4 linked regions of the Diceros bicornis minor genome follow. The main gene of each other region encodes a partner of the protein of the gene in region 3 in a complex. Links are inferred from orthologs where the notes say so. Each region holds a gene or a part of one and is shown on either strand. Other genes may lie near its edges.

Evidence for each region.
Region 1: RUVBL1 (region 3) and ASDURF share a complex: the UniProt entries of both Homo sapiens proteins name them as parts of the PAQosome complex. The link is inferred for Diceros bicornis minor from reciprocal best matches to the Homo sapiens genes RUVBL1 and ASDURF.
Region 2: RUVBL1 (region 3) and ANP32E share a complex: the UniProt entries of both Homo sapiens proteins name them as parts of the SWR1-like complex. The link is inferred for Diceros bicornis minor from reciprocal best matches to the Homo sapiens genes RUVBL1 and ANP32E.
Region 4: RUVBL1 (region 3) and MBTD1 share a complex: the UniProt entries of both Homo sapiens proteins name them as parts of the nuA4 histone acetyltransferase complex. The link is inferred for Diceros bicornis minor from reciprocal best matches to the Homo sapiens genes RUVBL1 and MBTD1.

The regions. Positions count from the first base shown.
Region 1 is NC_080749.1:68,663,785-68,671,725, forward strand, and holds the start of ASDURF (ASNSD1 upstream open reading frame protein), read left to right. Parts: upstream 1-4,926; 5' UTR 4,927-5,006; coding exon 5,007-5,096; intron 5,097-6,629; coding exon 6,630-6,683; intron 6,684-7,930; coding exon 7,931-7,941.
Region 2 is NC_080743.1:54,715,671-54,722,713, reverse strand, and holds the start of ANP32E (acidic leucine-rich nuclear phosphoprotein 32 family member E), read left to right. Parts: upstream 1-4,024; 5' UTR 4,025-4,325; coding exon 4,326-4,379; intron 4,380-7,043. UniProt on the Homo sapiens protein: Histone chaperone that specifically mediates the genome-wide removal of histone H2A.Z/H2AZ1 from the nucleosome: removes H2A.Z/H2AZ1 from its normal sites of deposition, especially from enhancer and insulator regions.
Region 3 is NC_080741.1:92,873,030-92,880,269, reverse strand, and holds the start of RUVBL1 (ruvB-like 1), read left to right. Parts: upstream 1-4,234; 5' UTR 4,235-4,311; coding exon 4,312-4,452; intron 4,453-7,240. UniProt on the Homo sapiens protein: Possesses single-stranded DNA-stimulated ATPase and ATP-dependent DNA helicase (3' to 5') activity; hexamerization is thought to be critical for ATP hydrolysis and adjacent subunits in the ring-like structure contribute to the ATPase activity.
Region 4 is NC_080757.1:35,216,925-35,224,394, reverse strand, and holds the start of MBTD1 (MBT domain-containing protein 1), read right to left. Parts: upstream 3,011-7,470; 5' UTR 2,839-3,010; coding exon 2,818-2,838; intron 2,191-2,817; exon of another isoform or gene 2,127-2,190; intron 1-2,126. Other genes in the region: UTP18 (U3 small nucleolar RNA-associated protein 18 homolog), read left to right, coding at 3,573-3,914, 5,509-5,621. UniProt on the Homo sapiens protein: Chromatin reader component of the NuA4 histone acetyltransferase complex, a multiprotein complex involved in transcriptional activation of select genes principally by acetylation of nucleosomal histones H4 and H2A.

The sequences.
Region 1 (7,941 bases), on a different chromosome or scaffold from region 3:
TGACAGAATTCATGATGCAAATCACCTACATAGATTACAATAATACCTCTTTGATTTTACTTTCTGGTTATTTGGTCCTAGAGCCCATCCCAACTCCCACCCCATGCAATTTCCAGTTCTGTCTGCTTGCTGAGACCACCCTTTGACCTGCTCATCTAGGATTCTTAAAAGAGTCTGTCGCTCAGTCTGTCTCCTTTCAATTGGCTCCAGTTAGTCCTACCCCATCAGAAATAACAGAACCATCCAATTATTGTGACAACCAAAAGTGCCTCCAGCCCTAGTCCTGTTGAAAGCACTAGAAGAGAGGACATATCTTCAATAAGAAATGGGCCAAGCATTTCACAGCCTGGTTCTGTCCACTGCATTGGTTCATGAAACTTACTTGTGTCAAATTTGTCTGGCAGAGCTTCTGATTTATCTATTAAACACACACAGATTGTGTTTACTATGTGCCTAAAGCTGTTAGAACCACTCTACAAATATTAACTCATTTAATCCCCATAACAACCCTTTGAGGTAGGCACTATTATTACTCCCATTTTACAGATTAGGAAACTGGGGCTTGAGAGGCTAATGAGATACCAAAGTCACACTTGTAATAAATGTAGAAGCCAAAATTCAAGCCCAGTCATTTTGGTTATAGGTTAAATGCATAACTATGTTATGCAGCAGACAGTTGCATCCCATTCCCAAAGATTTGATTCAGTAAATCTGGGGAAAAGACTGAGAAATCTATAGGCATCTGAACAAGATTTTCAGGGGCTCTGATATACTGAGAAGGGCACCCACAGACTAACTGATACTTGGGAACCACAGCACTATTTCACACCTCATTGGGAGAGACAGGAAGGAGACTTCTGTGGCTAGAAATAAATCTGTTAGAGTATACTGAGAAGGCAAGGAAAAACACAGTGGTTGAGGAAACTATTCATTCAACCTTGGAATCCAGGTTAATAATACACATCACTTCCATAAAATGTTCAACAGTGAACTATGTATTGTTAAACACAATGAAATATACTAAGAATGTAGCATCAGAGGAAGAGCATAAATAGCATTGATAAACACAAAATTATCCTATTAAGTAGGATACATGACAACAATGGACTTAAATGAAAGAAGGAAACAGCCTAGTTAGTTGTACAGTGGGCTGCAGATGGGCAGTCCCGAACCAGAAAAGACAAACGATACCAGGTATCCCTAAAGCGTGACTTCAACCAACGCAGGAATTACAGCAGCTGAAGGGGAAAAGAGAAGCAATTGGATAAACATGAAAAAATAAGATAAAATGTCAAAGAACTTTGAAAACAGTTTAGCACCATACTAATATGACCATCACCACTTGGTTTAGTATTATGTCATCTTGGGTGGCCCCTGTAAATAAACAAAAACATTAGAACCAGGCAGAGCCATAAGCAACAACTCACCCCCAGAACAAGGTGAACAGCTGTAGACCCATCAGCAGTGTTTCCGGCCACTGAAAATGGAAATGATTGTGGGTCAAAGAGTCAATTCGAACATTACCCAGAGCTCCCACTCTGCCAGCCACTGCCATAGAAGGTGGGGTACAAAGAAGACTAATATGCCATACATATTAGAGACTAATTTGAAGCTCAGTCTCTTCAGCTTTACAGATAAGCCTCACCTTTACCTCCAAGCACTAATAAAATGACATCCCATGTGTCAGGGGAGGTGTGTTCATAGGTTCCCACCAGCTCAACTGTGGTGAACTCTAAAGGTGTTGGTGAATGGAGCCAGAAGATGGGTTAAAAGAATGCCAAATTTTAGTTTTTAATTAATATAATATTTGGAAGTAAAGTTTAAAAAAAATAATTATCTTGTGACTAAAGCTTCAAAACTGCGTTTTGCCAAAGTTTTAACATATTTCATAGTTTCTTTTCAGGATCAGGTATTACAAATCAAGGCAAATAAAATCCGCTTTCATCAAACCTTCTCCAACTTGCTATACTTCCTCAAGTTTCATCTTTTACTGTGCTCTTTCATATTCTGGAACAAAAGGATACTTTACTTTAGAACTATCTTTTTCCTTGCAAACAAGGCTCATCCCATTACCTTGCATTCTCTGTTACTCTTGCCCCTAATGTGATCTTAGCCACTCACATTAGTTATAACTTTTAACCAATTTAATAACTTCTATTTCATAGAAAGAACTGGAGGTAGATAATTGAGAACAGTCATATGCAAGCATTTTAGCAAATGAAGCTCATAAGTACACATAACACAACTGTCTACAGCCACACACATTCCCTTTAAACCTTCTGAAAGTGGGAAAAATGAACATGTCCATTAACATGGCTCAAAAGGATAGCTATTCTATGGCAAATAAAAACAAGAAGCAAAAGTATATAAACTTAAAATTATGCTTCTATTAATCAATGTTTCAGGATTCAACTTTTAAAAGTAAATTATCTAGTTATCTAATGATTAATCATTAATTAACTCAATTTAATATTACCTCAGAGTTTTAATTACCTAAATATTTTTGAATTATGTTTAAACTTATATGGTATAAAACATAATTACTGTTGATCTAAAAAGTCTGTCTGAATAATTACTCGTTTTAGTGAACACAAATTTACATTTTTCATAAACTTAAATATTCCATAGCAGTAATGCTAGCTTATTTAATCAGTAAACCAACATAAAGAGCATAGGAAATTCAGATTAGCTAATCTCTTCATGAGAAAACAAATCTAAGTGTTATTTAAAAAGTACCTGTATTTTACTTAACATTGATAAATATAGAAAAGATATATAATTGCCTTTTCTTTCTTAAACCAAAATTATTAATCTAGCCTGATTTCTCCAAAGACTCACCTTAATTTTATAAATTTGGATTCTTCAAATATTTCTAAGCTAGCAGCTTTTGTAAGCAAGACTTTTTTTCTTATAAGTCTAGCACTCAAAGTATTAGAAATTCTGGGGGCCGGCCCCGTGGCTTAGCAGTTAAGTGCACGTGCTCCGCTACTGGCAGCCTGGGTTTGGATCCGGGCGCGCACTGTCGCACCGCTTGTCGGGCCATGCTGAGGCCATGCCCCACATACAGCAACTAGAAGGACGTGCAACTATGACATAAAACTATCTACTGGGGCTTTGGGGAGAAAAAGGGAAAACAAAGGAGGAAGATTGGCAATAGATGTTAGCTCAGGGCTGGTCTTCCTCAGCAAAAAGAGGAGGATTGGCATGGATGTTAGCTCAGGGCTGATCTTCCTCAAAAAAAAGAAAAAGAAAAAGAAAAAGAAATTCTGGGCTTTTTTTAAATTGGGAGATTTACACAAATGCATATTTGTGTCTGTAGACCAATCAGAACAGAGTTCCTCTAATTTAAGAGACATTACAATGGAATTTATTAATACCCTCCAGGAGTATGAAAACATTTTACATTCACACAACAAGATATAAAGGCTATTCTAAATTATAGACACAGAGAGAGCTTATAGCTTCAGTTTTACAACCTCAATCCCAGGTTGAAAGTAAACACAAAAACTCACTAGCCCAGATCTCAAAAACCTGTTCTCCTTTCCAGTGAGCATGAAATTCTTAATTAACTTGAGCTCACAAAGGACAAACAAAAAGACTAAAAAACTGGATTCACTGTCATGTCTTTTCTAATAGAGACTAGATCTCCATCATCCAACAGATATCACCAAATCATTAGACCATAAAACCAAATTCCCAATCACTGCTGCTACCCATGTATAATAACTTATCAGCCATGCGTAAATCAGAAACAAAACCAAAATTTCTAAAAATCAGTAAAAATTAAAAATATACAGTAAACAGTTCTATAACCACTTCGGATTTACTGTAAGAGGCAATAAAAGAAATGCCTGGGCTGAAACAACCCACGACATACACTTCCTTAGCCATACAGTTTGGCTCCATCACATGAGCTCACTTGGGCATCTCCATGGAAACTTAAGATTTCTTATGTTAAAGTATAATTTTCAAAAATATAAAACCACGTCTCTCATACACATGTAAAATGAACATAGGCCAAAGTTTTATTCAGCTCGTTAATTAATGAGGGAACAGGTAAGATGTTAAAACCAATTCAGAGAGTTTATGAGAAGCTAGGCATATATAATAAAGAAATGTTAGGATAGGATTGCAGAGTTAGATACAAAACTGCTTAATATATTACAGAACAATAATTCATAATCTGTGGGGTTATCTGGCCCACCAGATAGAAATTATTTGCATCTCTGCCAGACAAAAATCTGCACGTTTACCTCTGCCTCTCCAGAATTGTTAAAATACCCCAGTCAATAGAAAGTCAAGCCCAGAAAAGCTGTGAAAGAACACCCAGTAATCTCTCGCCTATTTCCAAGTCTTGGATAATTTTTCTCATTGGAGCGAGATTCTGAAAATATTGCAAGGGACATACTTATACTAAAAAATCATTCATTTATCTGAAATTCATATTTAACCGGGCATTCTGTATTTATCTTTTAACTCCAATAACAAGTTAACAAAAACTTCACCAAGTCTGTACAGTTCTGTTGCCAAAAACGTGTCTCTTAAATCTGTGCCTAGCTTCACATCCTTGCCTAGATAATAAATATTGTCTAGTTCTACTGCGCTTCTATTCTTTATATTGACCACTGGGGGGCGCATATAACTCACAGTCTACAGAACGCGAGGGAGTGGAGACCACAAGGCCGTTTCCACAGCCGATCCGCTAGCGGACAGTTCAGGAACCTCTCCGATTTCACAACCAGGCTCTGCTCACGCGCTCCCTAAGCATCTGTGCGCACGCGCGGAACTGCTCCCACGCCAAACCCGGACTGCGCAGGCGTTCCAGTGAGTGCGCAGAAGCTATTGGTAGGACTCATAGGGAAGGAAACGAGGGGGTGGAGCCGCTGGGAGCGCGCACGCGCGGAGGCTGGGGGCTGAGGGCTGGAGGCTGGAGGCTGGAGGCACCTGGGGAGGCACCTGGGGCGCCAGCTGCGCTGCGCGTCCCGCGTACCGTTCCCTCGGTGGAGATGCCTAGCCGGGGCACACGCCCGGAGGACGGCGCCGGGCTGGTCCCTACCGACGACTCAGCCCCTCACAAAGAGGATCTTAGCAACAAGGTGAGTGTGGGACGAGGCGAGCGGCCCGCAGGCTCGGGACGGAGCGCCGCTCAGCCCCGGGGGAGGTCTGCCGCGGCCGCGTGGCCCGCTCTCGGCTTTGCCCAGCTGCTTCTCTCTTGTTATTCTTAGCGTTCGACAGCTACAATTAAGGCAGACCCTGAAGTTTGCACCGAAATTAGACCCAGGAGGCAGTGAGGCGGAGATTTGGTTGGGGTTTTTTCTCTTTATTTAAACTTTTAGAAATACTGCCCACCCCAGATCTGCCGCCGATGTTCTCTATCTCAGAAAAGTCACCGCCAACCATCCAGTTGTCCGTGCCAGTAACCCGGGAACCATCCTTGACGTCCATCGCGAAGTCCTGTCAGTTCTGCTTCTGAAGCTCATTTCAAATATGTCCGTTTATCACCAGCCACCTTCATCTACCCTGCAAAGGCTTCCTAACTGGTCTCGCTTCGTCCATCATTACCTTCCATTCTCTTCTCCACATCAGCCAGAGCAATGATCCTAAAACACGGATTTGATTGTCACTCCTCCATCCAAAAAGGGGGCAGGAGGTGGGGACAATATAATATATATCTTAACTGCCATAAACAGACAAAACCTTTAAAAAATATATAGGAGATGGGGATGGTTATAGCTTTTCAGGTGTTAGATGTCCTAGATTCTACTTTGGTTCTGTCCCAAACTAACAGTGACATCTTGGGCAAGTCTCTAATAACCCCCCCCAAGGGTGAATTTTCAAACCTCATACAGCCCACTCTGATTACTACCAGAGCAAGCCACTTATACTGATGTATGACAGATGCCTGAGGTTCCTGAGGTAGGACAAAGATTTTATAAAACCTGCTTTTAGAGGCAATAGTGATACTATGTAATCAGTCATGTTCACAGAATAACTACCTTTACTGAAAAGAGTTAGAAAAAAAACTTTGTTTCCACTTAGTGGAGCCCTCTCCTATTTCGAGGCCTAGTTCAACAGTGCCAGCATTGTGTTAGTCTTTGAGATATAAAGAGGAATAAAGCAAAGATGGAAAGTGATAGGTCTTACTGCCCCAGGTAGGGCATTTAGTACCACTTGCTTGTTCTGAATGTCTGGCTGCACCATTTATACATAAATCATGAAAACCATTGGTATTGGGGGGGCGAGTAACTCACCCCTCATTCCATTTGCTGGGTTTTTTTCTTTTTTTAAAGCTAAAACATAAATCATTGAAAAACTGGTATTACTTTGTGTGCATATTGTGTAACTAAAAGGTATAAACCTTGTTTAGTAACTACCGCCCTTGCCTGGATGCTGGTTACCAACACCAAACTCCCTGGCTGGGCTCAATGGGCTAACACTTGGCAAGTCTACTCATTGTTTCCTCCTCCAACTCTGTCTCCCCCTCCTCGCCCCAGACTGCTGTTGACAAGAGTCCGCATAGTCACAGACTGCCCGTTATGGCCCCTATCCCATCTCTCTAATTTTAAAGCACCCTCATTGAGCATACTTTGAGAACCTCTGATTTAAGATGTTTTTCTTTATTTCAATAGATTAAAGAACAAAAAATTGTTGTGGATGAACTTTCTAACCTGAAGAAGAACAGGGTGAGTTATTGGAGTAATTCTGAATAGTATGTGGGAGGGTTTGATTGTATCTTATTAACTATATACAAAAGTTAAAAGAATCATATATGACTTATATTTATATTAAAATTTACAAGATTTCAGCATCTTTTTAGTTAAATTGCAACAGTGAAAAGCATCCAAGATTTTATATATATATCATATATAGATATCTATAGATTAATCATAGTTGATGATATCTTTTCCCCATCATGTGCAATTCACATTACCTTTGAACCAAATGATACAAATTGTACTGTGGTATCTTGGAGCTATAATCAGTAATGTTATTTATTTTATACTTGAATGTGGTATTTTCTTTTGAAATAAGTGAATTTTATGTTGAGAAGAGTGGAGACTATTTCTAAGTGAATGTGGATAATTGTTGGAAAAACAAAAAAGATAAATGCTTCCCCTCCCTGCCAAAAATTTTTACACAGATCTTCCAAATATTTAACATGGTTATTTAATGCTATTTCCATTAATGTATTCATAACAAGCAAGCTACTACTTCATGTGTAGTTATACTATCAAAAATTACATTTTAAAGTTCAGGAAGAAATTATTTTGAGCCCTTTACAGCATTTTAAAGATAATTTGATAACTGACAGGTTAGACATTTCTCATACTGTCACTTGTGGAATATTAGAAGTTAAGGCACAATTAATACAAACTTTCTAGAGGGCAAGTTGGCAGACTGCTTTATTGAAGCTTAAAACTGTGTAACACTTTGACCCAGCAGTTCCATTTATAGGAATTAATACTTAGGAAAGAATCATGGGAGTGCACAAAGATTTAGTTACAAAGACGTTCATCACAACATTGATTTATAATAGTGAAAAGTTGGTGACAACTTAAATGTCTAAAACTTGAGGACGACCAAATAAACTGTAGTATGTTATACTCATATAGTAATGTAAAAGAACACTTACTACTGAGAAAAAGTGTTCTCAATATATTGTTCAGGATAAAAGCAAATTATAAGTCTGTAGTTACAGTAGCCTTTTTTGTTAAAGAGAAATGGTATTGTGGTATATGCAGAGAAAAAGTGTCACCTCAGTGTGAATGGTAGCAGTTTCTAGATGGTAGGATAATGGGTGACTTTTGTTTATTTGTATTTGCTAAGGTATATGTTACTAAAGTTCAAGAATAAGCAATAATAGGGTTCAGAGATTTGACATCTACTTTTTAGATCAAATCATGATATTAGCCTAAATTATGTTTTGCAGAAAGTATATAG
Region 2 (7,043 bases), on a different chromosome or scaffold from region 3:
TTATCTCTCACGGTTTCTGTGGGACAGGAATTGGGGAAGAGCTCAGCTGGGTGGTTCTGGCTCAGGATTTCCTATGTGGTTGCAATCAGACAGTGGCTGGAGCTGGAAAAGTTGGGGGCTGGAGAAGCCGGGGGCTGGGTGGGTACCTCTCACTCTCTTCATCTAGGCTTGAGGCTTCTCCACATGATTTTTCCTATAGGTTAGTTTGGGCTTCCTCAGAGGGTAGGTATTTGGAGAGGGCCAGTGTCATATGTTGGGTTCCCCAGGAAGTAGACTCTGAGATGAAAACAGCAGTCAGGACATATATTGGGGAATGATATTGGGAGCAATATCTGTGGAAGGGTGGAGAAGGAAGCAGGATTAAGCAGTGGGAGAAATTGAATGGCAATGTAGTCCTAACAAAGGCCTCAGCCAACCCGCGGCGGGTGCTCTGGAGCTGGGATCAATGACCCTTCAGAGTTTGTCTAAGTTGGGCAAAAGGGCTGGCTGGGCCTTTATATCTCTGCGGTGATCACTCATTGGATGTGGGCTGCCCCTAGAAGAGGGTATATATAACCCTGGGCAAGGCAATTTTCTTCAGCCGAGGTAATCCCCTTCAAGGCAATCCCCTACAGCTGAAGGTCATCTTCCAGCAGTACTCCCAGTACTAGGGGGAATAAGTCCTTCATTCCTGAAGAAATTTCTGGGAGATGCATCACAGTGTTCACCACAGCCCTGACAGGATCTGTGGCTTTCAGTAGAGGGACTGGGTCCTTTTGTAACCACCTGGCACTGAGGAAGTTGGGGAATAAATGCTCCCACCTCACCATCCTCCAGACTTCCGATCTCCTGCCAATGCCTCTCCCCCATGTACCAAACCCAGCAAGTCATAGGACTCTGGGTTTTGAGTCACAGAGCAGGGTGGATGGAGAAGGGTGAAGAGTGGATCTGGAGGGGCAACAGAAGATGTTCAGCAGCACAAGATGAGTTTAGTTTTTGAACGTTAAGGACATGTTGAGGGGCCGGCCGGTGGCTTAGTGGTTAAGTGCCCGCGCTCCGCTACTGGCGGCCGGGTTTGGATCCCAGGCGTGCACCCACGCACTGCTTGTCTGGCCATGCTGAGGCGGCCTCCCACATACAGCAACTAGAAGGATGTGCAACTATGACATACAACTATCTACTGGGCCCTTGGGGAGAAAAAGGTAAAAAAAGGAGGAGGATTGGCAATAGATGTTAGCTCAGGGCCAGTCTTCCTCAGCAAAAAGAGGAGGATTAGCATGGATGTTAGCTCAGGGCTGATCTTCCTCACACACACACAAAAAAAGGACCTGTTGAGTTAAATAATATCCTGATGCATGCTTCTTTTTGGTGGATTAAAGCAGTGTTCTGAACCACCCTCTCATTCATTCCACTCCTTGCTCCTTTGCTTTCATCCACCTCCTAATTACTTAACCTCACTCTTCATTCTACCATTTAAACCCTGCCTCATTACTTCAGCTTCAAACATGTTCTAAGTTCATGAGTTGGGCTTTTCTCCTGACTATATTTCATTTTTTCAGCCTTCATTTAGCTCCATACACCCATCTACAAGCCTGGTAATGTTCTTCATCCAGCCTCTTCTCAGGCACCTTTCTTTCTGTGCACCAACCCTATGGGGAAATCTTTCCTCCCCCAGCATTTTATTTATCCTGGTTTCTTGATTAAGACTGGAAAGAGGTAAGTTTCAAGGTACTGAGATAATACAGATGAGAGATGATATGAGGGTGGGGACAATGGTTATGGGGAGAAGGCCCATTTTGGTGGATCCCTGTCTAAGCTTACTATGGTGTACTTTCTTTTTTTTTCTTTTTTTAAAGATTTTATTTATTTTTTACCCCCAAAGCCCCAGTAGATAGTTGTATGTCATAGCTGCACATCCTTCTAACTGCTGTATGTGGGACGTGGCCCCAGCATGGCAGGAGAAGCGGTGTGTCAGTGCGCGCCCGGGATCCGAACCCGGGCCACCAGCAGTGGATCGCGCACTTAACCGCTAAGCCATGGGGCCGGCCCTATGGTGTACTTTCTGAAGCTACTATCCAACGGTAAAATGAATTCATGGCCTTTTCTCACCTTCATTCTTTCCAGCATACTCTCCCATTCTGTCTAATGTGTTCCAATACAAAAGCCCTACTATTTAATCCCAATAATCATCTCTTCTTTGAAGCTCTTTGGCTTCCCTACATTTTTTCCGAATTTACCTCCTTCTTTTCTACCTGCTCCTCAGTTTCTTTGATTACTTTGGTAGAGAATCCCTCTCTCCTCTCTTTCCCCTCAACCATATTTTGATCTCTTCTGCCTGATAGTCTTCTTATTATACATATTCTCTGTGGACATCTTATTTTTTTCTCATGGCCTTAACTATCACTTGTATGTGCCTGACTCCTAAATCTGAATCCCCTTCCTTGAACTTTCTCTGGGATTCCATTCCAGATTCCAGACCCTGCAGTGGCTGGTGGGATCAGAACACAGGACTTCTTCCCAAGCTGGAACTAAAATGTGCTTTCAGGTTTCTTTTTAGCCAGTTTTTTCCTTCCTTTGTTTTTTAACTCTTCCTTGAACCGTTCCTCAATCCATTTTGGTTCAGTTTTCATATCATCCTGGGTTTCTTTAGTCTGTATTAAAGCAAATAAACAACAAACAAACTTAACTAACTCCAAATTGCCCTCCAGAGATTTAATTTTATACCAAAATCTCTCTCTTTGTTTTCATCTTCACAAACTTTCCTCTTTGAGAATTCAAAGGAAACACTTGGCAAGGGGAAGACAATCACTATTTTGTTTTCTTTTAAAGTATTTAACATGCTAAATACCAAAGATTTACATTTTAAATGTAAGCCTATTTGAGGAGCTGTGTGTCTCTGTAGCGGGGTAGGAGGGGGTGGTGCTGGAGTGGTGAGGAGTCTGTTCCGGAAACCCTAAGGTCTCTAACCTGAGAAACTGGAAAAATATCAAATAAACACTCAGCTCTGAGAGGGGCTGGACTAATTCACCCACTTCCTTCCCCAAATCATTTGGAATTTCTTTGGGTATTTATCCTGAGAATGGGATAAGGGAATGAAAAGGACAGAATTTAAGCAAGAACTAAGAAAAGTTAGACTTTCAAGACATAACTTAAAAAATTATTCTTATCCCGCTCTTTTCTCTCTCACATTGACAGACTTTTAAAAGCACGTTTTACCTACAGATTTCCATGGAAACCACCAAAGGGAAATTAGAAAGGAGAGGCATTGCAGTACCATTTCTGTGCGAATTGATGTTTGATTTTCATTAGGCTAGCACTGTTTTTCCTCCAAGGTTTTAGTGTTTATTAAAGCAACAATTATCTCAGTAACAATTCCTCCAGGGTAGTTTTATTTAAAGGTGCCTAACCTATATACTTCACCCAACTGCTTTCAAAATCGTTCAGTCCTTCATGACGGAAGTTAACACACATCTTTATACCAGCTTGGTTCTGCACCAGCAGCCTGTCCCCGGCAGGGCAGAGCCACGAAGGCATGCTTTTTGTGTGATGTGCACGTTGCTGTGCACCTTGGCTGCAAAGCAGGAGCTGTGCTTTAAAATGGCTAAGAGCCAGTACATGCCCTGTGCTGAATTATCAGTCACGCAACCTGGCCACGCAAGAAGGATGCTTTCTCCCTCCCGTTAACACTAAAACGAGAAAAAAACCCAACCAACAAATCCAACAGGCATCAAAACCTTCCCTGCGCCTAGGGAAAGCGCGCCAACCACACAAAGAAAAGAGGGGGGCTACTGGGATTCAAAATCATTTCCCCGGGACGAACACCCTCCTGGACCTATCGGAGTTAACTGCGCGCTTGGTCGTAGCCAATAGACACAGTGTTTCTGGTTCAGGTCCGCCCTGAGGACGGATAGACTTTTATGCAGTCCAATGGAAGAGTGTGATGCTGGAGCATTAACCAATACATTCGGGAGGTGGGTGGAGTGTAGGCCAGGGGGTTGGCGGTGCCGTGTCATGGAGGCTCAGTCTCTGAGCAGCCATTGAAGGGGAAGGAACTGCGGTGTGTGTGTGTGTGTGTGTGTGTGTGTGTGTATGCGCGCGCGCGTGTGAGTGCGCGCGCGAGTGTGTGGACAAGGAGGTGGGGGCAGCTGAGTTAAGAGTCCCAACTCCTTGGACTCCATTTGATATTCTCTTTTTTCTCCCCCACACCTATCTGGTGGTGGTGGGCGTTTATATTTGCGTTTCTTTTCATTCATTTCCAAATCTTTTAAAATTTTAGGGTTGGGGGTAGTGGGAAAGGCAGGAAAGGGTAAAGGAGGAGAGTAGTAGCAGAAGAGCAGGAGGAGGACATGGAGATGAAGAAGAGGATTAACCTGGAGTTAAGGAACCGAGCCCCGGAGGAGGTGAGATGACTCAGCCCCCTCCCCTTCTCCACTAGCCCCGTATTGGGAGGATCGGGTTTCTGGGGGTCCCGGTGGGTGTGTGGGGAGGGGTAATGAATTAAGACTCACTTGGGGTTAGGGTTGGGGGGAAATATTTAATTTCAAGTTTTAAATCATTAAAATCTTTTACTTAAAATGGCGAAGGGTTTAAGTTTCTAGGGGCGTTTTGTGTGTGCATGGGGGCTTAGCCCTTTTCGCCTCTCTTCGAGTCAGGCGTCCTGGCCTCGTGGGGGCGGGAAGCGGGGTGTTGGGGCCCGCTCCGCCGCTGCGCCCCCCATGTTCCTCCTCCTGGGGGCCGGCGGCGTGGGCGCGACCCCCCAGTCCCGCTTGCCCCTGCCGCAGCCATCGTTGCCTGAGAAGTTAGTCCAACTTTTCTGCAGTGCTGCCAACTCTTTTATTTAGGCGGGGGGGTGCCCCCGGCCTCGAGGCCCTTGGGCGTCCGACGACGTCGCGCCCGGCGCGGGCTGGGGTCGCTCGCGGAGTCCGCGGACCGCCCGCTGCCGGCTGCGCCCACTCCCCCGGGAAGCGGCGCGCGCCGACCGCCGCCAGGCGGAATCTGGGTCAGCGGCCGGTTCTCCGGCCGTGGGGAAGTTTTGGGACTCGTCGCAGTGACCAGAGGTGGGGAGGGGACGCGAGGCGCAATCCCCTTCGTCCCCCGCGGTATAATGAAATTCGGCGTGTCGTGTCGTGGTGGCTGCAACTCCGAATTTGGTCCCGGGAGACGGTTTCACAAAACTCAACAAATGGGTCGTAGTAGTTCTGCGCTTTAAAGATGGGTTCGGCGAAACGAAATGATGCGCTCTCGCTGCTGTCGCCTTAGTTAAAGAGACGGGGTTGGGAGGGGCCACGTGAGGCGGGGTCGCGGTCAACTTTTCAGGGGTCGGGCAGAAGGCGTTTCCGCCTCCTTTTCGAGGGCGCCTCCTCAGCTTCCCCCAGCCATCCCCGCCCCGGGTGGGGGCGCTAAGGGAACACGGGCTGGGAGGCGACCCCTTTTTCCCTGGGGAGTCTCCGCCCCGCGTGGGGTTTCCCGTTGGTCGGAGCGTAAGGTCGAGAGAGCGGGGCCCACGGCCAGCAAGGAACCTTGCACTTCTGGAAGCAGAGGAAAGCGTCAAGAGTCTTACTAATTAATTGCGGCCTCTGAAATAAACCTTAGAATTGGAATGACAGAGATATAAGTTTTTTTCAACAAGGGTGGAGGTGGTGCCTGTGCATACCAGCATTGGGGACGAGTGGGGTCTGTCCGGTGGGCTGCGGCGGCGTGCAAACTGGGAACCCAAGATCTTTATGTACTTTTCAAAAAAAGTCTGTTTTCCTGAAATTGGCAGGGGGCAGGGAGGAGGAAACAGCCGCTGCTGTCATCCCAGAGAGAACTTGAAGTTTTCTACGGCCTTCTCTTTAGGGGCTTCAGGAAAAAAACAAATCAAACTTAAAAAGCTGCCTCTCAGGAGCACACATTTAGAATGCTTTTTTATGTTTTGGGTTGGAAAAGCGGATTTGTGTCTCCCCCGCCTTCCCCCATTCTTTTACCTACCCTATCCGTAGTAATTTCCTTGCCAGTTTTGGGGAGTGCCGGATGTTGCCTTTTTGCAGCCTCTCCTTCCTCTCCTGTGGTGTAATAACGGTCTCTCATATCTATATAGCTCTTTACAGTTTACAAAGCACTTTTCTTGTTTGTTATTTACTTTTGTCTTTCGGACAGACTTGTGAGGTGGATTGTATTGTATTGTTCTAGAATCCAAATTAGCAAACGGAGTCTCAGGGCAATGAAGTTATTTAGGAAGAACTGGTTTTCTGACACCAAATCTAGTGGCCCTCTCTCCTCCATTCAGCTCAAGTAGGAGTCAGAAGACTTGGAGTGGAGGCACGGCTGTGCCACATAATAAGTATGCGGTCCTAGGCAAGTCATCCTTACCCTCTGGGCCTTTGCTGCCTCATCTCTAAACAGGAGAGCATGATGCCTTCTCTGCTTACTGAAATAATTATGTCCAAGTCATATTCAAATAGAGAAGGTGGCATCCCTTGATGCTAATTTTTAGCCCTCAGAATACCTCAAAAATATTTTTGCATTGGGAAAGGAGAGCCAGAGTCTCCTGTCTCCTCCTTAAGATTAAGTCCATTTAGGCCCACGCCAGAAACTTTGGTTCTACAACTCTGACCTAACAGAGGATCCATCTCCCCCTTCCCAAGAATGGGGAGAAGTCACCAAAATGCTACCAGAGTGGCAGGGAGAAATAACATTTTGTCAAGGATGTATTGTTCTGGGTGATATTGTTTGGCCTCAATATTAGAACAAATAACATTCGAAAGCTGGACTGTCTCAGAAGGAGCTTTCTAACATTTCTTCCTGAAGGATAACAAGGTATTTTTGAGTTATGGTGGCATTTATCAACCAAAGATAAGGGCGTTTAAATTGAAAAAGTGAATAAAACAATTTCCTTTCGTCTCCCTGCTGTTTTGGGCAGCTCGCTTGAATCCTTTCCCAGTAGCCTGGGTATCCCCTCAGTGCATAAATATATGCCCTGATGTTGAGAATCCTTCTTATCATGGTCAGAAACAAGTTTCACATGGGACCTTTTTCAAAGTTTTATTTTTTATGTGACAGTGATTTGAAGCAGGCATTGAACT
Region 3 (7,240 bases):
TCACTATTGAATATGATGTGTGTTTTAAGATGGTTAAGATTGACTATGCTTAAATCCTCTGGGGAATGATCCAGAAGAACAGATGGAAATACAGGAAAAGAAGGCTAATGGGTGGAGTGAGGCCTCTGAGAGATAGAGTGAGGCCCAGATTGTTATCTGGAACCCAGTTAGTAGGGTTACCTTGGCTAGGAGGAAGGTCATGTCTGCCTTTGAGTTAGGACACAAGGAGAACCCTGCAGTGCCTGGCAGATAGAATCTTAGCGACTAAGAGTTGTTTCCCAATATCTTCCCTTTTTTACATAGGAATAGAATTTTTAGCTGGGCACATATCTGTCCAGATAAAGAATACATTTCCCAGCCTCCCTTGCAGCTATTTGTAGCTATCTGACTAAGTCTGACCATTGGGATATGAGTAGAAATAATTGTGCAACTTGAGGTCAAGGTAAAGGGTAGGAGCATGTCCTCCCCTTCCCCCTTTTCTCCTTCTTGCTGGTTCAAATGCAGCCTTTTCGGGGGGCTTGCCCAGCTATCTTGGACCATGCAATAGAAGGCATGTGTGTGGAATGGCAGACTAATAAGACAGAAGGAGGACAGGTCCTTAATGATTATAGAGCCAGCCCACCAGGTAGAATGCCTGCTTGGCCTTTCTGTGAGAAAAAGTAACTTCTATCTTGTTTAATTTACTATTATTTTGTATCTCTTGGTTACTGTAGCTGAACTAATATCCTAATCATTACTTGGGCAGCTCTGAGTGCTCAGCTGAGGCTGAAGACCATGACAGTGTAATGGCTCCATGGGACCACTGGGTAATTGCCTCCTGCCATACACAGCAGCCTTCATGAGGCAGTGGAGAAGGCAGAGGTAGGCTGGACCTGGGCTTGTGGGTTGAAAGGTCAAGTGTGAAAGAAGTCAAGGCAAGGAGGGAGCAGAAGGGTTGGAAACCAAGTGGTTGAGATGATCAAGCTTGGACTGGAGAAAAGAAGGGTTGAGGGCCTGGAGGTGAAAGAGCAAGGGTCATGGGAGTGAGAGAATGAGAGCTGACAGGTCTGGGGTTGTCACACAGCACAATTCTGGAATGTAGCAGTCCACACAATTACTCGTATATGTGTCATTGCACTGATACGGATTTTCAGTACCCACAGACAGAAACCTAACTCAAACTATTTTAAGCCCCAATGTCACTGCCATATTACATTGCAAGTAGGGCAAGGCTTGGTCTGGGAATATAGAGGATTTCATCAGGAATCTCTGTCAGCTTTCCTTTCTTTTGTGTTGGCTTCATTCTCAGGCAGAGTCTTCCCTTGAAGTGGCAAAAATGACCTCGAAACCCATGACCCAAGTTCTCTTTCCTGGTATTTCCAGTAAAAGTGCCATGACTGTCATTGGACAGCTCGCTCACATTCCCACACCAATCACCATGTCCAGGAGGATGGGATAATTTGATAGGCCAGGCAGGTCCCGTGTCCATCCCTGAAACAAAGCTGGGGAGTGGTGTCAACCCATCCAAAGCACTTGGACTCAGAGTCGGGGAAGGGTGGTTTTCTAAAGAAAATTTGAGTGATGGTAGTCAGAAGAAGTCAGAAGGATGACAGGTAGGCAAAATAACCCATATCAACTACTGTGGCCTCTCCTGCCTTTCATTCACCTTGTGTGTCTTGGACGTTGGCCCATCACATAGTCTTCTGCTAAAATGAAAGGAACTGCCTGGCTCTGCAGCCAGGTCCAGCTTCTTTGCACACTGGATATGGGGTCTGGGCCATTGTCAGGCAATTGCTCGATTTGTGACCTTGGACAAACTCCATCCCCTCTTAGGGCCTCAGTTTCCTTACCTGTAAAAGGAGAATGCTAGGCCAGATCAGTGATTTTCGAACTGTTCTTTAGCAGTCAAAAAATGGAACAGCTCTGGTGGAAGGGGAGGCAGGGGCATTGAACAGGTATCCTGCATTCTTAGCCTTCCCCTTCCTCACTCATGCTGGCCATGAAAGAATTCTATAACTCCAGGGAATGTGATATGAAAACCACTGGACCAAGTGCTCCTAAGGATTCCTCTGAGTTCTAAAATCCTTATCTCACCCCTCACGTCCATATTTGGCTAGAAGGAAATCCTTCTCTTTACTTTGTGTCAAAGTTTGGGGCTTAAAATAATAAATGTAAAAACGGTCTTCTCCCCTAACTGGACAATACACAAAGAAGTCAGTCCCATTGAGTGGCTCACTTTGACTACTAGTTGGGGGAAAGGCTTCCTCTTCCACATGGTGAAAGGAATTGCTCCTCACCTATGCATAATGACCAGGAATAGGTCAATGAGATGCTAAGCAACCTTCTGGGTGGTCCTAGAGGTGATATCCCTAAGGTTGATGAGTCACAGGCCACCAGTAACACCCGCAGCCTTCCAAGGCCTTGCCTCTGCTCTTTCAGGCTCTGAAAATGCCAAAACATTCTATTCATTGACAGAAACCAATTACCAAGTCCCATAAAACCCAGTGTGTTAAATACATGCAGCAAAACTGCATGACTTCAAGTGTGTATGTGGGGGTCTAGAATCTTATTTGAATTTATAAGAAGACTTAATTGTGAGCCAGGCTGTGTGTCAGGCACTGGGATTAAAATGATGAACACAACGGGGCTGGCCCGGTGCCACAGTGGTTAAGTTTCCACGCTCCGCTTCGGTGGCCCGGGGTTTGCAGGTTTGAATCCCAGGTGTGGACATATGCACCACTCATCAAGCCATCTGTGGCGGCGTCCCATATACAAAATAGAGGAAGATGGGCATAGATGTTAGCTCAGGGCTAATCTTCCTCAGCAAAAAGAGGAGGATTGGCAACAGATGTTAGCTCAGGGCCAATCTTCCTCACACACACACACACACAAAATGATGAACACACATGTGATCTACACTCTCATAATGCCTGTAGTTTAGTGGGAGAGACAGACATTGACCCAATAACCCTGAAATAATTAGAAACCTAAATTCAAAAGTCGTAATGGAGAAGTACAAAGAGACGTGACAGTCAGAAACTACCGCATCTGGATTCGACTTTAGGTCTGTCTCAACCCTAATGCAAGCTCTCCTAAACTCTGGGCAAGTCCCTCCTTTCTCTAGACCTCAGTTTACTCATCTGTAAAATGGTGGCATACTATCTGCTTCTGAGGAAGTCTTACCCATTCATCAGGGTTTGGCCCAGGCCAAACCTCATGATGCCTTCCCTGGCTCCCCAGGCTGTTCAGGGTGGCCCTGCTCTGGGCTTGTACACCACGTGGGTGTACCTGCTCCCACACATCTCATGTTGCAAGTTTCCCAACTAAGGACTAAGCTTGTCAAGGCTGGAGATTTTGTATTATATCTCCGTATCCCCAGCGCGTTGTAGTGTGGCTCACAGCAGGTGCTAACACATGTTTGTTGAATGACGAGATGGATGGGAAGAGGACACTGTGGTGCAGGCAGCGTTAACATCATTATGGAACCTGAGGGGACACATTTGCAGGCTGATTGTCTCACCTGAGGTCGGAGCATGGGATGAGGATTATCCAGGCTGTGAAGCCTTAAATCCTCAGCTGGAGTTCCAATTCTACTGATTATTTGCTGTACCTTCTTCGCCGGTTATTGGGCCTCTTTTAGCCTGCGTCTTTATATATATTAGGAATTATACTACCTTACAGGGTTGAAGAGTTTTGGAAACTAAAATGTTATTCACAGCGAACTTAAATAAAGGGAGAGGGCGGAGGCAGAAGCAAAGTTCCGCAGCGGACGCTGAGCGGAGCCAGGGTGAGAGCAGTTGGCCGAGCTGGGCCTCCGCAGGGAGTTGCAAATGCTTGGAGTCAGACAACAGCTCAGTAAGCAAAAGTCAAAGCTTAAGCTCTAAACCTCAGTTTCTCTATCTCCAAAACGGAGGTAATAACTTGAGCTTCGCAGAAGGATATGACGTTCAAATGCAAAAATGGATAGGATGGCACGATTAAAAGCCGGACTCCAGGCGCCCACTTCGCTGCAGCGCCACAACCCCTGATCATCCTGCGGGCGCGACCGCTCTGCGCTCTCGCGCCACGCGCCAGAGCAGGAAGCGCCGGCTGTGGGAAAGCCAACTCCGTCACACAGCCGGAAGTGGGTGGGCGGAGCCCTACCGGCAGCCGCGATGGGCGCAGCCGTGAGCCAATGGGGAGCTGAGGCGTTCCCGCTTCCGCCAATGGCGTGCCGACCAAGGCGGGCCTTGACAAACCGCCCTAGTAACGGCCGCATGGTAACCCAGGCGCCGAGCGTGGGGTCCTAGCTCCAGGTTTTCCACGCTGGTTTTGGCTTCCGGCATCGGCAAGATGAAAATTGAGGAGGTGAAGAGCACCACGAAGACGCAGCGCATCGCGTCCCACAGCCACGTGAAGGGGCTGGGGCTGGACGAGAGCGGCCTGGCCAAGCAGGCCGCCTCGGGGCTCGTGGGCCAGGAGAACGCGCGCGAGGTGTGGTGGACCGGCCAGGGAGTTGGGGCGCCGAGCAGGGCCCTGCCGCGAGAGGCCGCTGACGGGGGCGCAGGGAGGGGCGCGGGGATGCCCCGCCGAGGTTTTCTATCAGGGCGGTGAAAATGGGCTACGGGGGACGGCAGGGGGGCGCCGCATTGGCACTGGGAGAGGGGCGGGCGCAGGAGAACAAGTGACGTCCCGCGGGGCGGTTGACTGGTTGCTTCACCTCATTGACGGGTCTTGATTGAGCCCCCCACTCCGTGCCGCCATCTCCGCGCGACGCTGGCATACAGCGGGGAAGAAGACGGATGAGGTCCCGGCTCTCATGGAGCTTACATTTTAGTGTGATGAGAGACAGGCGGTAAACGGTTAAGCCAGTAAACAAAATAATTATTATACTTTGGTGGGGGTCAGTTCCTGCAGGGTTTTGTCGGCCGTGATAAGGAATTTGGATTTTTGTGAACGCACTGGGAGGCTGTGGTGGTTTTAAAGTAGAGAAGTGATCAACCTGAAAAAGCTTACTTAGGTTCCCACGGCTTGGGAGCTGAAGGAGGGAAGTGGGAGTTATAGAGAGGAGCAATCTGCTGTACCCACACCCCTAGCATTCTTTTGGCTCATACCAAATAAATCCAGTTTTATTAAGTGGCAGTGATGCCAGGTCCTTTCGCCTACATTATTATTATTATTTTTATTTTTTCCCCCAAGGCCCCAGTAGATAGTTGTACGTCATAGCTGCACTTCCTTCTGAGTTGCTGTATGTGGGACACCGCCTCAGCATGGCCGGAGCATGGCCGGAGAAGCGGTGTGTCGATGCGCACCGGGATCCGAACCCTAGGCCCCCAGCAGCGGAGGCGCGCACTTAACAGCTAAGCCATGGGGCTGGCCCTTTTCGCCTACATTATAATCACAAAACTATTCAAGCTTTTTGTATTTTTTTGCAGATGAAATAAATGAGGGTGGGAGAGGTCACTTCACATACCCACTTGCCACTCACTTTAGTAATGGTAATGCTGGGCTTTGTACCCGTGTGTGTTTCTGCCTCCCAAATCAGTGCTCTCTCTGTGATAGTTATAGCCACCCTCTCAGCTTGCTGAGCACTGTCAGACCCATGCCCCTTGCCTCTGACATGGCTTAGCACCCACAGGAACCATTATTAAGTAATAATGAGGTTAAGACTATTGCCTCCTAGCCTAATTGTGCTAATACAAAGGGCCAAAGAAAAGCCTCTGTTTTCCATTTTGAACATGATCTTTCCAAAAAGGAAATATTGACAGAGTCAGGGTGACTTTGAAATGTCTTTTTATCCATCTTCCACTTACTGAGGACCTGTTAACTGCAAATAGCTAACACTGGTTGAATGCTTGCTTTGTGCCAAGCATTGTGCTAAGCAGCTTTATCTCCATTGTCTTGCTTTTCACCTCCACCCTAATAATCGTCCCTTCGCCACTTTCTTATGACACTTTTCAGACATACAAAATAGTTGAAATTTCAAGACTTATATGGTGATTACCTGTGTATCTAAATTCTACAATTAACATTTTACTCAATTGCTTTATTATATCCATCCACCATTTTTCCATGGTGCTGCTCATTTATCCATCCACCAATCCACTTCTGCTCTTCAAAGCAAGTTGCAGACGTTAGTACACTTTACCCATAAACTCCTTGGCATTTGTGCCACTAACTATATTAGGAACTCTGTTTTCAGATAAGGAAATTGTGGTTCACAGAGGTTAGGTAGGTAGGTCACAGGTCACTCAGCTGGTAATTGGTGGAGTAAGGATTTAAACCCAAGTCTATCTGACTCCAGAATCCATGCTCTTAACTGATGCTATCTGCCTCTGTATGAATATGAGCTTCCTGAGGATACAGACCAGGTAATGTTATTATATACTCAGAACCTGACTCATTACCGAGGCTTGGTATTTATTTATTGAATTAATAGGCATCCCACCTCAGCTACTGGGTCCTTGTATAACTTTGGTCACATCAGCAGCCTCCCTGGTGCTTAATATCCTCGTGTGAAAAATGAGAGACTAGGTGATCTTTTAAAGGCCCTTTCAGTTCATAATTTTTAAATTTTAGAATTCACTGAACATATCTCTCTAGAGAGAAGGAGCCTAAACTGAGGGAGATTAAATGGAAGAGGTGCAAGTGTGTGAATAAGAATACATAGCCGGGGCTGGCCCCGTGGCTTAGCGGTTAAGTGCGCGCGCTCTGCTACTGGCCGCTTGGGTTCGGATCCTGGGCGCGCACCGACGCACCGCTTGTCCCGCCATGCTGAGGCCGTGTCCCACATACAGCAACTAGAAGGATGTGCAGCTATGACATACAACTATCTACTGGGGCTTTGGGGAGAAAAAGGGATAAAAAAGAGGATTGGCAATAGATGTTAGCTCAGGGCCGGTCTTCCTCAGCAAAAAAAGAGGAGGATTGGCATGGATGTTAGCTCAGGGCTGATCTTCCTCACATACACACAAAAAGAATACATAGCCAAGGTTTGGGAAGTCTCTTCTACCTCTTTTGAGTTTCCCGGAGTTCCACTGCTGAGGATTATGATATCACAGGGTTCTTTGGAAAGACCATAGTGGTTCTTTTATCTTTTTAGAAATGCAACATCTGAAGAATAGCTTCTAGGCTCTATTAAGGGCATTGTGCATTTCCAGCTGAGTCAGAAATGGTATATAGCACATCCACATGCATTCCTTGAACCCACATTTTTTGAAGGGCTATCTAAGTGTGGGACCATGGTACTTCTCCACTGGGGAATGGTGTTAGAGGAGATAAG
Region 4 (7,470 bases), on a different chromosome or scaffold from region 3:
GCCATCTCGGTATAAAATTAAAGGTAACCTTGGACAGTTAAGAATACCCTGGTGTTAGCAGGCATATCTTAGCTTGTTTTAACTATTTTAAGTCCTTCCTCTTCTTTGTCCTGATGTTTTTATCTTTCTCTTGGATTTGAAATCCTGAAACTAATGATACATTTTTAACTGGTTTACCTTAAAACTATAAATGTGAAAAGGTTAAATCTTATTTAGCAAACATTTTAAGGATGAAAAATAGAGAAACAAAGAGCAACCAAAAGGATAGTGACTTGTCTAATTTTAGAATGTGGTCACTCAAACTACTGAGTACTTGTGGCTCATAGTAATTTAGTGGTTTAGTATTTATGACATTAATATGCTGTTTTCACGTCTAAGCTATAGTTTTACCTTTTTTTCACTACTATGTTATATTCTAAAACAACTTAAATTGCTTTAATTTCCAGTGTAACTGAAGGATTAGAAGCATTTGAACATCTAGGACAGTTTAGACACTAATCAGGTCAACATATAACCAGCCATAAAAACTATAACACTGTCTTCTTTAAAAATAAAACCAGTTGTTCCTGTCTAGTACCTTTAGAATGCAAATGTCTCCAAAGTCAGTCAACTTAAGTCATGACAGTTCATGTTTAAAGTAAGCAGGAAAATAACTTGGAACTCATTAATTACAGCTTTAAAGACAGAATTATACAGCTCTATCAGTTTTTTCAGTATCCAGTATTCATTTCCACGTTACATTCCAGTGACTAGATTTAGAGGAAATATTATAAGTCAAAGTTTGTATAAAATTAAAAATTGGATGTTAAAAAACATGGTCCAACATAACATACTTATGAACAGATACTTATTCAAGATAGTTTTTGCCATAATTTGCAAGGCACCAGAAGCCTTGAGGATGGGGTTTTATATAAATAGAAGCTACTTGTTATTCAGAGGAGGTGGTGCAAAAAAAGACAGCTATTTTCTTTCTAAACACTCATTGGTGTTGAGGTAAACAAACAGGGAAAAAAAAAAATACAGCCTAAGCACACTAGAGCAGAGCAACAGTCTCTAAGTCATAAACGGGAGAGAGAAAAAAAGGCCTCTGCTCTAACATTTTAAACAGGGGACCGGGTGTTTAAACTGAAATTTATTCTCTGGCTTTTAGACCAGATTCATGACTTCTACATTTTATCTGTTATGTCTTGACTCCCACTTTACCATATTAGGAAGAAGAAACTATGTGCCCCCAAGATTCTTATACCAATAAAACTTTTGGAGGCAACGTAGCTCACCAAATGAAGGAGAACATTAGAAAAACACTAAGTGACAATAGCAAGAACCAAACTATCTCAACAACTGAGTGATAAATACTGGTGTTACTAATGTAAGGAGCATGAAAAACATTGCAAACTCTAAGCAACTACTAAAGTGTTACAAAAATTCCAAATCTCCTAAGAGTTAAAAAAAAAAAAGAAAAGAAAAGAAAAGAAAGAAACGAAAGCATTGTGAAGGAGGGGCCCTGAGAAGGAAGTCCAGCTTGAAAGGAACACATAGGTCAAGAAGGGGAAGGAGGAGCACTTCTACTGACCGTCCCTCTACCAGGACATGCTTCTAACAGCTTCAGTACTATCCCCAAGAGGCAATTTTAGGCATCCTTAGGGAGCGATTTAGGCAACAGGCAAATGTGCTTTCAGACACAAGAACTATACAGATGATGCTGAAATTTCTAACCTGGAAAACATGCACTAGCGAGAGAAAACAGCCACGAAATCCCAGACCGTAATTCCCAAGCTTCCTGTTGAAAAATAGCGGTTCTCAGACATATAAGCCACCACATTTGAAACTGACCCAGCAAAGTTTTCAGCTGGCCCTCACTATCTCTCAAATCCTCCTTCCTCCACTTCCCTGCTGTTCTTTCCTGGCACACAAAATATAGGCCAACGAGCAGTGGGTGGGTGAGGAGGATGTGAGAGAAAATTTGAGAAGTAAAAAACGGAGCAACTTAACAAGCACATGAATGAGACTGAAGGGTCTAATAAGGGCAGACAAACAACGAGAACAACTGAAAAACGCACTGGGTTTCCTGGGCAGCAGTGAAAGCTCAGTGTTTGTAGGGTTTAAGCAGAGGCCAGACTACCTACCACTTGTCAGAGAGGCTGCAGAGGGGACGGCTGCTTTGGGTGACCTCTAATGTCTCTTCCGACTCTGAAATGTTAGGATTCTTATTTCACACAAGAGAACGCAACGGTCATAGAAGCCCACCGACTTAGAACCCTGTTAAATAAGCGGCCCAGGCGGCTGCTTCCTAAACACCACTCCCACCTCTCCCTCCCACATCTGCCCACCCCGCCCCCTTTCAAGATTTCCACCTCCACGTGCAAAATGCCTCGCAGCACTCGCCCCAAAGCGGACAGGCGCCTTCCCCTGCAAAGCACCAAAACTATGACCCCCTGGGGGAAGTGAGAACACTCTCCCACCCTGGGTGGCAAAAAAGGAAAAGTCTCAAATCCAGCCTTTCCCCCCCGAGCCAGAGCTGAAGGGGTAGGGGAGGCGGGACGCAGAGAAAAACTTTCTTCTAAAATTTTTCTTCCAGAGAGTGGAGGGGGTTAGAGAGAACCCCGACGAGTCCGGGGCTGAAAGGGTGGGGGGAGGGGAACCCCTGAATCGTTTAACGGCCGGTAGGGGGAGGGGGGCTCCGGAGATGGAGGGGGCGTGAGATGGAGAAGCAGGCCTGGGAGCGGGGTCAGGGAGCTGCAGGGGTTCCTGGGGGTCGGGAGCTGCAGGCGTCCCCCCCACCTGGCACACAAAGCGGCTGCCGCGCTCGGCTCTCACCAGATCCTTTGTGTTTTCCATCAGGGCCTCATGGGTAGGGGTTGTCCGTGCTCCCCGGGCCAGCGGCGCCCCCTCCCCGAGCTGGGGGCAGGCGCCTCTCCCCGGGACTACGGCGACTACAGGGGGCCCCCGGTTGGGCCCAGACCGGTGGCGGCTGCGGCAGCCCCCGGATTTCCCCCCTTTAACTCGGGTGGCCCCAGGATATCAACAACATTAGCATAGCCCTCCCTCCCCAGCGCGCCTGCGCCGTGACCCGCGCCCCGATTGGCCCACTTCCCTACATACCCTCCTCTCTCTCTTCCAGCGTGGGACCCTCTGCAGGCTCCGTACTCCAAGGGCCGTACCAAGACGAAGGGGGGGGAAAGGCAATTGGGGCTCGTGTTAAGTCGACTGGTTAACAAGTCAGGAGGAGGAGCAGAAGTTTCGCGCGATCATCTCAGTTTATACTCTGGCTTGCTTGTGCTCCTTTCAATCAGCTGCAGCTGCGACGATGTGTTGGAAAAAATTTTCCACTCCGCTCACGCCGCTTCCCCCTCCACCCGGAAGATTGGTCCTCCCGGAGGAACTCCCATACGGGGAGGGGCACGTGAGGAGAGTGGGCGTTACGTAGGGAAGAGAGTGCTGGTCACGTGGTAGCAGGCTGCGCAGGCTCCTTCCGGCCCCCCGGGGCCTCAGCCGCCGCGGACAGGGAGGCGCCTCGGCGCACGCGCAGTGAGGTTCCACGTGAGCTCCTGCGTTTCTTCTCAAACCCAACGATGCCGCCGGAACGGAGGAGCCGAACGAGACTGGACCGAAGAACCGGAGCGAGGCCGGACCGGAAGACCCGAATGAGGCCGGACCGCAGAACCGGAGCGGGGCCAGGCGGGCCTCCCCGAAAGGCTGCTCCTTCATCCCAGCGGAAACCGCCGGCTCGGCCGAGCGCAGCGGCCGCTGCGATGGCAGTCGCGGCGGCGGAGGAGGAGAGACGGCTCCGGCAGCGGAACCGCCTGACGCTGGAGGAGGACAAGCCGGCCGTGGAGCGGTGCCTGGAGGAGCTGGTCTTCGGCGACGTCGAGGACGACGAGGACGCGCTGCTGCGGCGTCTGCGAGGCCCGCGGGTGAGGGAGGCCGCGGCGCGCGGGCTGGGCGCGCTCGGGCGGGGCGCGCGGTGGGCGGCGAGCCTCCGGGGGCGGAGTCTGGGCGACCTGCGGCGCCGGGGAGCCTCAGGTGGGAGGGAGCCCGAGAACGCGGGCGCCGGGGATGCCAGAGTGAGTCTCCGGAGGGCGGGGACCGCGCCTTTCTCCGCCCCCGGGTGAGCCGCCGCGCCTGGTATGCAGCAGGCGCTCAACACGTCTTTGTTTCGCGAACTGTGGTCGTGAGCATCTTTCGCGTTCAGCTCCCCCATCCTTACTCCGAAGGGTTTCTTCCCTCGTGGTTGTTCGATCACCTGCATCAATATCTTGCCGTGATTCGGGAGTTCCGCTTCATTTGTAGAATCGGAATTTGCGGGCGCGGGCCTGGGAATCTGCGTTTTAACCATCTCCCCAAGTCTCGCCAGCTTTTGAGAATGACCGTGTGCTTATTTGTCTATTCAACGAATATTTGTGAGCCCGCTGGGTGCCAGATACTTTTTTTGGCGATGAAAATCCTGCGTAATTGATTATAATTTTTCTACTCTTTCTATCACCCCTTGTATCTATACGTGGCTTTTCTTCCAAGGTAGGGAGTCCCAGGCATTGTTCTAGGCACTGGAGGAGACACAGTAATAGACCAAAATCCCTGCTTATGTACTAGTTGCAAAGGCAGAAGATAAAGGAGATAAGTAAAAATCATTATGTCAGTGGCAAGTGCTTAAGACAGAAAGAAAGCATTGGGGAAAGGGAGCTAAGTGTGTGTTGAGGAGGCTTGTGAAATTTCATGTAGGGTGGTCAGGCAAAGCCTCGCTGAGAATGACTCAGTTTGGTAAATGAAGGCGGACCTAGCAAGTATCAACTGATTGCCAGAACCTCCTTTGGTGCTTATGGGAGAAGCTGCAGAAATCTAGTTGGGAGATAGAGAAGAACTACTGGACTGTGTGACAGTTTCCTAGTCAGGAAAACGGTCTATGAGAGGTGGAATTTGTTGGGTTTTGAAGGATCGTAGGTCTTTAATAGAGTAGGTAGAAATCATCGTGTGGTTTTGGGAAAGATCAAGCATGTTTCAGGGGATGTTCTGTGGTCTGGATTTAGATTTGATTGTACAGTATAAAGTTTCTTAAGGAGGTAGGGGGTCAAGAACTTAAGAAAAATGGAGATGTGTGTCTAAGAATATGAAATCCTAATTAATTATGACATTCAATCATGTTATTTTGTCTTGGATGCTAGTTTGCCTCTGGTCCCGTAATTTCTGCAGTTGTGGATTTTTTCCTGCTCCTTCATCTGTCTGCTTACCTTTTGTTGTTTTTGTCTTACTTGGTGTTTTCCTTTGAGCATGTTGACATTCTCTCCCTGACTGTTCCCTCTTACCTCGCCTGTCCAGCGTGTGGTGACATTCTCTAGTCTCCTCATTTTGTCTTCTGCCTCCAGCATTTGCTGTGGTGGCATTCTGTCCCATTATTTCATGAGAGGGCTGTAAAAAACAGAGCATTCTGTAAGCTATCTTAACTACAAAATGTGTCTGTCTGCCACCACAGGATATGAAAAACAGTGCTTGAGGGGGTTTTGTCTTCTCTAGGTTGAAGTACAGGAAGACTCAGGTGACTCGGAAGTGGAGAATGAAGCAAAAGATAATTTTCCACCTCAGAAGAAGCCGGTTTGGGTGGATGAAGAAGATGAAGATGAGGAAATGTAAGTTGCATAATTTTTCTTCCAGAATCCCTGTGGGTACTTTAAAAGTTATTTTGCAGGTTTTAAAAAAGTTCTTTTTAAGAATATGCGATTATGTGAAGATTTGAAAAATACTGGAAAGTATGGAAAAGTCATTCATAATCCCACCGCTGAGGTAGAACCACTGATAGCATGTTGGCATACTTCTCTTCCCGTCTTTTCAGTGCGGTATAGAATAGCTAGGACAGCAGTGTTTGCTGTCAGACCTGAGTTTGCCTCCCAATTTGGCCAGTTCCTAACTGACTGTGGGCATGTTTAGAATCTCTGTTTTCTTGTTTGTAAAATAGAGGTAATAATAGTGACTATGTCAGAAGGCTCTTGAGATTAAATGAAATAGTGTATGTAGAGCTCTTTGCACGATGCCTGAAACCGAGAAAAGGCTAAAAAAAAGTTAGCTAGCGCACACAGTATGTACTTTAATAGATGAGAATCTACTGTATTGCAAGCATTTCTCCTGCTTTTAAAAAAAAGCCTCTATCAACATTTTTAAATGAGTGTATTATTGTCCATTGTATGAATTAACCATAATTTATATAGCTGTTGTTGGACAGATGTTCTGATATTTCTCTTTAATAAATTAATGATGAGATAAACATCTTTATGCATAAACCTTTTTCCACTTTTCTAATTATTTCTTTAAGAAAGATTCTTTGAGGTGGAAATACTTAATCAAAGAGCACAGACATTTTTCAGGCTCTTGATAAATACTGCCAGATTGACCATGAGGTTCTACCAGTTGACCTTCCCACTGAAAGGTTTGCCTTTTCACTCCGTTCTTATAAGCAATGATTTATCTTTCTTCAGACTTTGTCGGTTTAAGGGGTGGGAGATAGCTACCTAATTTGTGTTGAGAAAACATTTTTGTTATTAGTCATTGGTATTTATTAAAAGTATTCTCTATTATGTCTTTGATTATTGGAGACTGTTACTTTTTATTTATTTTATTTTTTAAGTAAAATTGTATGTATTTAAGGTGTACAACATGATTTGCTCTACATATACATAGTGAAATTATTATTACAGCAAGCTAATTAACATATCTATCTCCTCACATAGTTACTATTTTTATTTGTGGTTAGAGCACCTGAAATCTACTTTCTTAGCAGATTTCCAGTATACAATATAGTATTAACTATAGTCATGCTGCTGTACATTAGATTTCTAGACTTATTCATCCTACATAACTGCAACTTTGTATCCTTTGACCGACATCTCCCCATTTCCCCCACCTCCCTGCCCCTGGTAACCACCATTCTACTTTCTGCTTCTGTGTAGTCTACTTTTTTTAGATTCCGTATATAAGTGAGGTCATGCAGTATCTTTCTTCTGTGTCTGTCTTATTTCACTTAGCATAATGTCCTCCAGATTCATCCATGTTGTCAAAAATGGCAGGATGAGACTGTTTCTTAATGATTGTCATATATCAGCTCCCTACATATTGAGAATTTCAAACCTTTATCTGTCAAATTTATTGCAGGTTTTCTCCCAGCTTTCTGTTTGCCTTTTAATTTTGTTTTTAATATTTGACATTCAGAATATTTACGTTTTTATATAGTCAAATTTATGAATCTTTTCTTTTTTTTTGCTGTTTTTAACAGTAAAAAATCCTTCATCAGAGAAAGACAAGTGTTTGCCTGTATTTTTCCTTCATAGTATTTTAAGATTTGGTTGTTATGTATTTAACTCTTTATTTTGCTTGGAATTTATTTTGGTGAATGGCATAAGCTGTGTCTAGATAAGTCATTATGAATTTGAAATGTAAGCTGTTCAAAGGGTAAACTAGATGATCTGAAATATTGGAGACTGCTTT